Linked DNA regions of Neurospora crassa OR74A. Each later gene encodes a partner of the first gene's protein in a complex. Links are inferred from orthologs where the notes say so. Each region holds a gene or a part of one and is shown on either strand. Other genes may lie near its edges.

Region 1 (4,538 bases):
CTCAATTTTACTATTAAATAAGTTCAATATACTTATCTCGTTAAGGCTATCCCTTATTACAATTCGGGGGGTAGACCCCTTACCATTCCGCCGGCCGTTGTTAATATTCTCTTTTAGTATATAAATACCCCTATAAAATCGAAAAGATTCTTATTGTAGGTAAAATTGGGGAAGTATATATTTAAATTTAATAGCTACGGTTGCGAGGCTATTTAAGCTGCAATAGAGATTTAGGGTGTCCGTTGCATTGAATAACTAATTTATCTTCCTCTAAGCGATAAGACCTGTCGTTTCCACTTTAAATTTGCTTTATGGTACGCCGGCTTTACCCTATTGGAATAGGAGATTTGGATTTAGTTTAATGAGACGTAGGTAAATAGCGTTACTTAAAGCTGTTATTTCGTTACCCTTTTTAAGGATGAGAAGGTTAGCGACTTCGTTAAAATTAAAATTAGAGTTCGGGGATGGATATTTTAGATTTACTTTATAGGTAAAAAAAAGGGTACATTCCTCTTTTGGAATTATAAGGATTGGGGTACGATTACTAGCGATATTTACTAGAAGTATGTCTTCCCTTTTCTGCGGTAATTTTGGTAAGAGAATTCGTTTTTTGTCGTTATGTAAGACAATGCACTAGCTTATAGTTCGAAGTTAACGAAGGTATTTATAAAGGATGCTTTTGTTGGCGCTACTATTGTCGATTGGCCGCCCTACTCCCTTGATTTTAATTCTATTGAGAACGTTTGGGCCTTTATGAAGAGATGGATTGAGTGTGAATACCTAATTAGACTGATTGGGAATAGCTTTAAATTGGCTATCGAGAAGGCTTGGGAGGTTGTATTAGAGGACTACTTACTTTGCTTAGTATATTTAATGCCTAGAAGGCTTGAGGCGGTTATTAAGGCAAAAGGCGGGTATACCGACTATTGATTTGGCTGAGGTTACGGTTACAATTGTGGTATTTGAGAATCCCTGGTTTTAGTATGTGAAATTGATTGATTTACGGTAGCTTTGTTGTCCCTGTTCTTCCTGTGCGGGCCTCGTATGCGTAATTTGATTGGATTTATCCCTAGTCGCCTCCCTTGTCAAAACCCCTGTATGTACCGAGCTAACGAACTTTCCAGGGCTCAAGTGTACTATTCACACTACTTAGTACCTTCCCTTTCATACATGTTGCCGTTTTTGTGCGGCCAAGGGAGATGCTAAGCACTATCGTGTTGTAGTGTACACGACTAGGACACGAAGTACTGTTCAGTGCCGGTGCTATGATGTGCTTGATGCGGCTACTTCAGTTGTCATGATCGATATGATGGGAGCCCAAATGCGGCTAGTGATTTCCAACGCCACAATTTTCCACTGATGAAAGTTACCACCTGTAAGGCTCAGTGCAGTTGGTACGCGGTACGGTAAACTTAAGGCCCCGATGGTACGTACAAGCCACAGGTGATAGCCCTGCGCCCCACCTCCAAGCATGCAGTACCTTACGGAAAACACAATGTGAAAGTTTGGACAAATTGGGTCACTGCGTTGACTCATCATTGCAAGGTTTTGGTACCGCACGGCGGCCGAGGCAGGCGCATCATCAACCCCAGCTTTGAAGTTCAAACGCGCCGTTCTTGACATTGTGCAGCCCCACCTTTTTCCTTCTACCACAGTCTTCCCCGCGCTTCCCGATCCGCGGCCACTTACTCAACCAGGCCCTCGTCGACCCATTCCTGTAGAGTTCGAGCTGATAAATAGACTTCAGTTGGCAATGTCGGGCAAGCAAGTCAGCAAGGGCGGGGCTGCCAATAAGTCCAAAAAGCCCGCCAAGGGCGGCGCCGAGGAGAAGAGAGAAGATGCTCTCCAGGCCGTCATCCTCGCCGATTCTTTCCAAGATCGCTTTCAGCCTTTCGCGCTTGAAAAGCCCAGGGTAAATGCCTTCATGCTTCGTGCTAAATGCTTCGTGTCCCTTGTCCCTGGTGACCTCTGAGTACTGACGGCCTTCTCCTGACAGTGTCTCCTTCCGTTGGTCAACGTGCCCGTTATCGAATACACGCTCGAGTATCTAGCCTCCAACGGCGTCCAGGAGGTCTTCATCTACTGCGGCGCCCACTCCGAAGACGTCGAAACCTACATCCACGACTCTGACCGATGGAGCCCTGAAAGCAATCTCTGCCCCTTCTCTTCTGTCGACTTCATCCGCGTGTCCGACGCAAGCTCCATCGGTGACTTTTTGCGAGATCTTGACAAGCGCAGTCTTATCTCGGGTGACTTCATTCTGATTCATGGCGATGTTGTCGCAAACATCCCCCTCGATGGTATTCTGGCTAGGCACCGCGCAAGGAGAGAGGCCAACAGAGACGCCTGCATGACCATCGTCTTGCGCTCAACAGGAGACAGCCCTCACCGGACTGCAAAGGCCCGGGGCATTACTCCTGTCTTTGTTGTCGACCCCACCAACGGCCGTTGTCTGCAATATGAAGAGATGCACCCACTTCAGAAGGACAAGTATGTCAAGTTGGACGAGTCGGTATTCGAGTATGCTGAGTTCGACTTACGCACCGATCTGATCGATTGTGGCATCGATATTTGCACGCCAGATGTTTTGGCCTTGTGGTCCGAGAGCTTCGACTACGAGCTTCCCCGCAAGAACTTCCTTCACGGCGTACTGAAAGACTGGGAGCTCAACGGCAAGATCATCAGCGCCGAGATTCTTGAGGAAGGCTACGGGGCTCGCGCCAGCAACCTTCAGATGTATGATTGCATCAGCAAGGATATCCTCCACCGCTGGGCGCTACCGTATGTCCCCGATAGCAACCTTCTTCACGGACAAACTTACAAGTACAAACGGGGTCTGTGGTTAGAGGATGGCGCACACATCGCAAAAAACAGCACAGTAACCAAATCCGTACTAGGGAAGACCGCCTATGTCGACACCGGCAGCACAATCTCGAGCAGTATCATCGGAAGGAGGTGCCAGATCGGAAAGAACGTGAGGATAGAGAACAGCTATATCTGGGATGACGCGGTCATCGAAGACGGTGCTACTGTTCTGCATTCCATTGTAGCCAACGATGCAGTCATTGGTAAGCACAGCTACATTCCTCAAGGCTCTCTCATCTCCTACGGTGTGCGGATCAGCGCCGGAACACAACTCTCATCCAAACCCCTACCGAGAATATCCCTCTTTACCAGTGAAAGAGAGCCGGTCAAGACCGACATCAAACTGGTCGGAAACGATGGCAAGGGAGCCCAATATAAAGAGCCAGAAGACGACGAGGATAGTGACTCCGAGGATGAAGGCGATGCGGACCCCGCAGTTCTCCAAAGCTCTCTCATTTACTCTTTGGCTGGCCTCAACATTTCAAGCGAGTCCATCTCCACATTAGCGACCCATGACTCCGATGATGACCTCTCGGATGACGAGTACGAGCAAGGCCTCCAAGCCAAGACCAACCGGGAGCGCCTATCCTCCTTCGCGTCTGACGATTCCGCTGCCGCCGTCATGAAGCTCGACCAGTTTCATGGTGACGCTGTTCACGGACTTGTAGATGCCCTCCGTGCTGACGACAACGAGGATTTCGACTCTGCGAAGCTGGAGTTCATGGGTTTGAGACTGGCCAATAATGCTTCGGACAGCATGATGCGCAAGGCCATTGCCGTAGCCTTTGCCACTCGCGCCGCCGAGCTCATGAGTCCCGAAAACGGCGGTCTTGAGCCTACCAAGGCCGCTGGCCGGGCTCTTACGTCCAAGAAGGGTGCCGTCAAGTTCATTACAGAGGTTGGCGTCGGCGGAAACAAGGTCGATCTCCACGCTGAGTTTGCCCTCGCGTTGCAGAAAGCTTTGGCAGCCATTAAGGGGCTTGATTCTGCGCGCGCAGGAACGCTACTTGCCGCCATGCTGCAGCAGCTTTATAACTTGGACGTTCTCGAGGAGGAAGGTATTCTCGCCTGGTGGGCGGATGCCAGGGCTGCAGAGAATGATACACTCTCCAAGATCAAGGAGAGGAGTCGTGTGCTGGTCGAATGGCTGGAGAATGCAGATGAGGAGGATAGCAACGAAGACAGTGATGAAGAGGATGAGGATAGTGACTAGATGGGTTATCAATGGAAGTGCATGCTCAAGAGGGATGGATTATTTGGAAGAAGGAAGCAAGGGTGGAAGAACGAAAAGGGGGAGGTGTAGATGAACTTATACCCGCAGCACCTGCGACCTCGAGATATTGCTTGTGTTCTCTTTTTGGGAAGGGGAGAATGGATGGACGGGAAAATGAAGGAAAATTTGACATCCGCATACTCCTCGCTCTCAACACATCTTCCTTTGTATGAGCACGAATGCCTGTGATAATTTTATGAACTACACTGAGCAGCCTTACTAAAATGATGGCCTGAGTGCTCTCAGCATACAGGTTGTATAGGTGAGCGTCGTCAAGAATACTAGGTCGCAACAGTCAGAACCACCCATGCATGCTCTTTGCTTTCCAACTTTGGTCCTTGCTTCACACTCAACTTGCTATCTCATCATACGTACATCTTGGGTCAAAAAGTTTGGTGAT
Region 2 (3,899 bases), on another chromosome or scaffold:
ATATCTTTCCCATTGATAAACAGCCACCTAACCAACAACGGCGTGGAAATCACTCCCCCATCCTCTCCCTCTTCCGAGACCCCCGCCGAGTCTTCCTCCCCCTCCGACAGCAACACCACCCTCATCACCACCGAAGACCTCTTCTCTGACCTAGACGGTGCCAATGTCGGTTTTCACAACTGGCACCCTATGCCCATCACCTCCAAAGGCAACACCCTTGTCGGGCAAGGCGAGCTCGGCGGCGTGTGGGAATGGACTTCATCGGTCCTCCGCAAGTGGGAGGGGTTCGAGCCGATGGAGCTGTACCCCGGCTATACGGCGGATTTTTTCGATGAGAAGCACAACATTGTGCTGGGAGGGAGCTGGGCTACGCATCCGAGGATTGCGGGGAGGAAGAGCTTTGTGAATTGGTACCAGAGGAATTATCCTTATGCTTGGGTGGGGGCGAGAGTTGTTAGGGATTTGTGAGTCGTTGTGTTTGTATGTGTAATGGGTGGTGGACTATGGCTGGTTGGAAAGTGAAGACGACGTGAATAGCGCAGTCTTGGTTAGTACTCAGATGGGTATCTTTTTCTTGGTTATGAAATTTCGGTCAACTACATGTATATGAATGGGGTGGTTTCATATGTCACTCCACTCGATCAGGCATCCCTGGTTTAACTTTAGCACGTACTTTGTTTTCCTTCACAGGCCAAGCAAGTGAGAAAAGAGACTCTTTCATCAACCAAACCTCCAAAGGATATCAGGTACCTATCCCATTTCCCGTTAAAAACGCCTAATAATGCTGCAAGGATATTTACCACAGTAACCACACCGATAACTTGAAAATGATCAAGCAGTTCCATCCATCCATCCATCCATTCATAAAACCGCCCTTTTGTTACCCACGCTTTTCAACACCTTTCACCTTCAGTATCGGGCAGCAAGACCCCCCTCACTTCTCATAATCAACCAACTCCCAAATCTGACTCGGCTGCTTCACTCCCTGCTCCGTCACAATGCCATCAATCAGCTCCGGATCGGTATAATCCACCTCATCGCGATCCGCCACCCAATCCCTCGCCTCTTGGCCTACAGGGTCAACGCCCACGTTGTCAAACTTGCTGATATCCTTCTGCTTGACGCCGACCCTCAACACCTGTGGGTGCCAGAGGGGCGTCTTGCGCACAATCTTGTGACTTTCCGCAGCAACCAAGAAGCGCTTCTGCGAGCCGCCCGCGAAGCGCGTGAGCAGAGCAAGCTGCGAAGTGCCCATGCGCGAGATGATGCCGCCGTTTTGCATGACGACCTCGCTGCCGACGAGGACGATGTTGATGTCCTTTTGGTCCTTGAGGACGTAGGCCACCTTGGAGGTCGAGATGGTCTCCACCTCCAGGCCGGCGTCGCGCAGGGCCGAGACGCTGGCGTCGCAGTGCGGACTGCCGTCCATGACGTAAATGACCTTGAAGTGCGTGTTGGTCCGGGTCGTGGCGGCGTGCACCAGGATCTTGGTCACCACCCGCGAACCGCCGGCGGCCAGGACGATCTTGCGGTGCGACATGTAGCGGGAACCGATGACGGCAATGTTGTCGCGGGCGGCCTTGGCGCGGGCGGCAAAGAGCTGGCGGTTGTTGAGCAGGTGGCGCTTCGTCTCGTCGAAGGACTCGGCGGTCTGCCCTCTAAGCGACCGGAGAAGGTACTGCTCGAAGAGGTCGGCGCCGGCTAGCAGAGGGAGAGGGTTCGGGGCCGAGTCGAGGAGGAGGGCCTTTTGGGTCTTGACGACCTCGACGGTTTCCATGGCTGTTGAGGAAGGGGTGACGCGCAAGAGCTCGATGAGCGATTCGATGGCTGCTACGGGCATAGTCATGTCGGGGTCGGAGGTGAGGAGGTCGCGGTAGGTTTTGACGATGCTGTTTGTTTGTCTTGGTCAGAGGCAAGCAATGCGACGAAAGGGTTCAGCGCGGTTTGGTTATGACGCGTGTGGTAATTACGCCAAAGCAAACTCACTCGAACGAGGCGCCATCAGTGGAGGTGGACGATGTCGTCCGTACCGCGAGCGGCTTGTTGGATAGGTCGTCGGTGGCCATGTTTCTATGGGGGTTGTTGGAGAAGACGACAAAGTGTGTTGATATTGTGAAGGTGTGGGAAGTGGTTTTCGTTGCCAAAACATACAAGTCCTCCCGGGAGGAAGCACTGTTGCGGCGGTCGATCCAAGTGGGGAGGGTTCGGGGTGTTTTAGTCACTTGGGAGACTTGGAGCAGGCAGGCAGGTTTTGGCTTTGTCAAATCGTACAGGTTTATGTATTGCGACAATGATCTGGTTTGTGGTATGCAGAGTCGATAAAATGCAGCGTTTTCTGAAGAAGCGTGCGTCTGGTCTGATCTGAAAGTGTGACTCAAGATGCGTACCTACCTCTACTAGCTGTACATGTAACCTTCTTCATCCCAAATTCCCAAGTGCGGGCGGCCCTTTGAAGTATTCTGCCGCCACTCACCGTCCTCAATGCGTACCTACTACTGAGTGTACCTACTGCACGTCAACGAAGCTCTCCGGCCATTCTTTGTTTCCATTTCATGCCCGCTAGGTATGTGCCCCGCTATCGGCAGCTGCTAGTGTACACTACTACCTAGCGGGGTTGTTGCTGCCCTGGGTGATTTCCATGCCAGGTGTTGCGGCTTGTCACCGCCGCCCACCAGTCACCTCACGGACCTTTCGGGGGCTCTTTACAGGGTCGAAACACTGAGGGTCCCCCCTGGGGCTGCGTGGATCCTTTCTACTCCAGGCTGCCCCTGGCATCTGCGCTGCTACCACTGTTAGGTACTTCCTGTGGCTTCCGCCCCGCCGTCCGCTTCCATGGAACAGGGGCAGCAAGGGGAATGTGAAGCTAACTTAGGGGTTTCTACAGTAGCGGAGGACCCTTTACCGTCATTGTCTCTTTCTTCATCGGGCATTTGAAACTACCTAGGTGTATGGACCCGTTGGTTGGCGATGTTGGCTTCAGTCTCTTCTTCTTCTTCTTCTTCTTCCCCCCCTGGCTTCCTGTTGAGCGTCGACTATAAGTTGCCGACATAGGGACTAGGTACGCTAGCAAGCAAATCACAAGGACAGAAACACCATTACGACCGTGACCACCACCACCACCACCATAACACAACACACATCATGACGACCCTCATAGACCCGGCCACGCAGGCCCCCCTCCCGGCCGATGCCATCCAGCGCATCCTCCACATCACCTCCTCCTCGGTCCACATCTACCAGATCCCCCCTATGCGCTCGACCAAGGGCCACATGGCCGCCGACTGGACCGCCGACCCCAAGGCGCACATCTTCACCGGCCGCGTGCGCATCATCGAGACCTCGATCCCGCCGCAGACGCCCGAGCAGATTGGAGAGAAGGACACGGTCAAGGTCGACATTGTGCTCGAGGACCCTGCCACAAACGACCTGATCGCCGCCGCCCCCTACACCACCCAGGCCGTCGTCGAGGCCACCATCGACAGCAGCCGCTTCTTTGCCCTGCGCGTGCAGGATCCCACCACCGGCAAGAAGGCCATGCTCGGCGTCGGCTTCGAGGAGCGCAGCGAGTCTTTCGACTTTGGCGTGGCCCTGCAGGAGGCGCAAAAGTCGCTGGGCCTCATCGAGGGCGTGGCGCCCCTGATCAAGTCAAGCAAGAAACAGGAGGCCGAGGAGAAGAAGGATTATAGCTTGAAGGAGGGCGAAACGATCACGGTGAACTTGAGCGGGACCAAGTTTGGGAGGAGAGCAAGGCAGGATCGCCCCTTGTCGACGGACCTGGACAGCAATTCACAGCCTCCTTTGTCGGCCTTTTCGCTCCCTCCTCCTCCATCGTCGACTGGAGGTGGCGGCGGGTTAGGAATGCCTTTCTTGCCGCCTCCGCCTAGCAGTGGACGTGCTGC

What was found.
Region 2: the proteins of NCU02414 (region 1) and NCU04344 are in contact, whole or in part, in a cryo-EM structure (PDB 6QG0), measured with the Saccharomyces cerevisiae proteins. The link is inferred for Neurospora crassa OR74A from reciprocal best matches to the Saccharomyces cerevisiae genes GCD6 and GCN3. Residues at the interface, in NP_010497.3 of Saccharomyces cerevisiae: Glu321, Lys327, Val331, Val332, Leu333, Ala334, Gln335, Ser336, Cys337, Ile339; in NP_012951.1 of Saccharomyces cerevisiae: Asp122, Phe146, Arg148, Phe149, Arg150, Ile174, Pro175.

What each region holds. Positions count from the first base shown.
Region 1 is NC_026507.1:2,572,987-2,577,524, reverse strand, and holds NCU02414 (translation initiation factor eif-2b epsilon subunit), read left to right. Parts: upstream 1-1,531; 5' UTR 1,532-1,753; coding exon 1,754-1,912; intron 1,913-1,996; coding exon 1,997-4,078; 3' UTR 4,079-4,497; downstream 4,498-4,538. UniProt on the Saccharomyces cerevisiae protein: Acts as a catalytic component of the translation initiation factor 2B (eIF2B) complex, which catalyzes the exchange of GDP for GTP on eukaryotic initiation factor 2 (eIF2) and is regulated by phosphorylated eIF2.
Region 2 is NC_026504.1:3,704,009-3,707,907, reverse strand, and holds NCU04344 (translation initiation factor eIF-2B alpha subunit), read right to left. Parts: upstream 2,385-3,899; 5' UTR 2,067-2,384; coding exon 1,987-2,066; intron 1,890-1,986; coding exon 935-1,889; 3' UTR 555-934; downstream 1-554. Other genes in the region: egt-1 (DUF323 domain-containing protein), read left to right, coding at 24-468; NCU04345 (adaptin ear-binding coat-associated protein 2), read left to right, coding at 3,142-3,899. UniProt on the Saccharomyces cerevisiae protein: Acts as a component of the translation initiation factor 2B (eIF2B) complex, which catalyzes the exchange of GDP for GTP on the eukaryotic initiation factor 2 (eIF2) complex gamma subunit.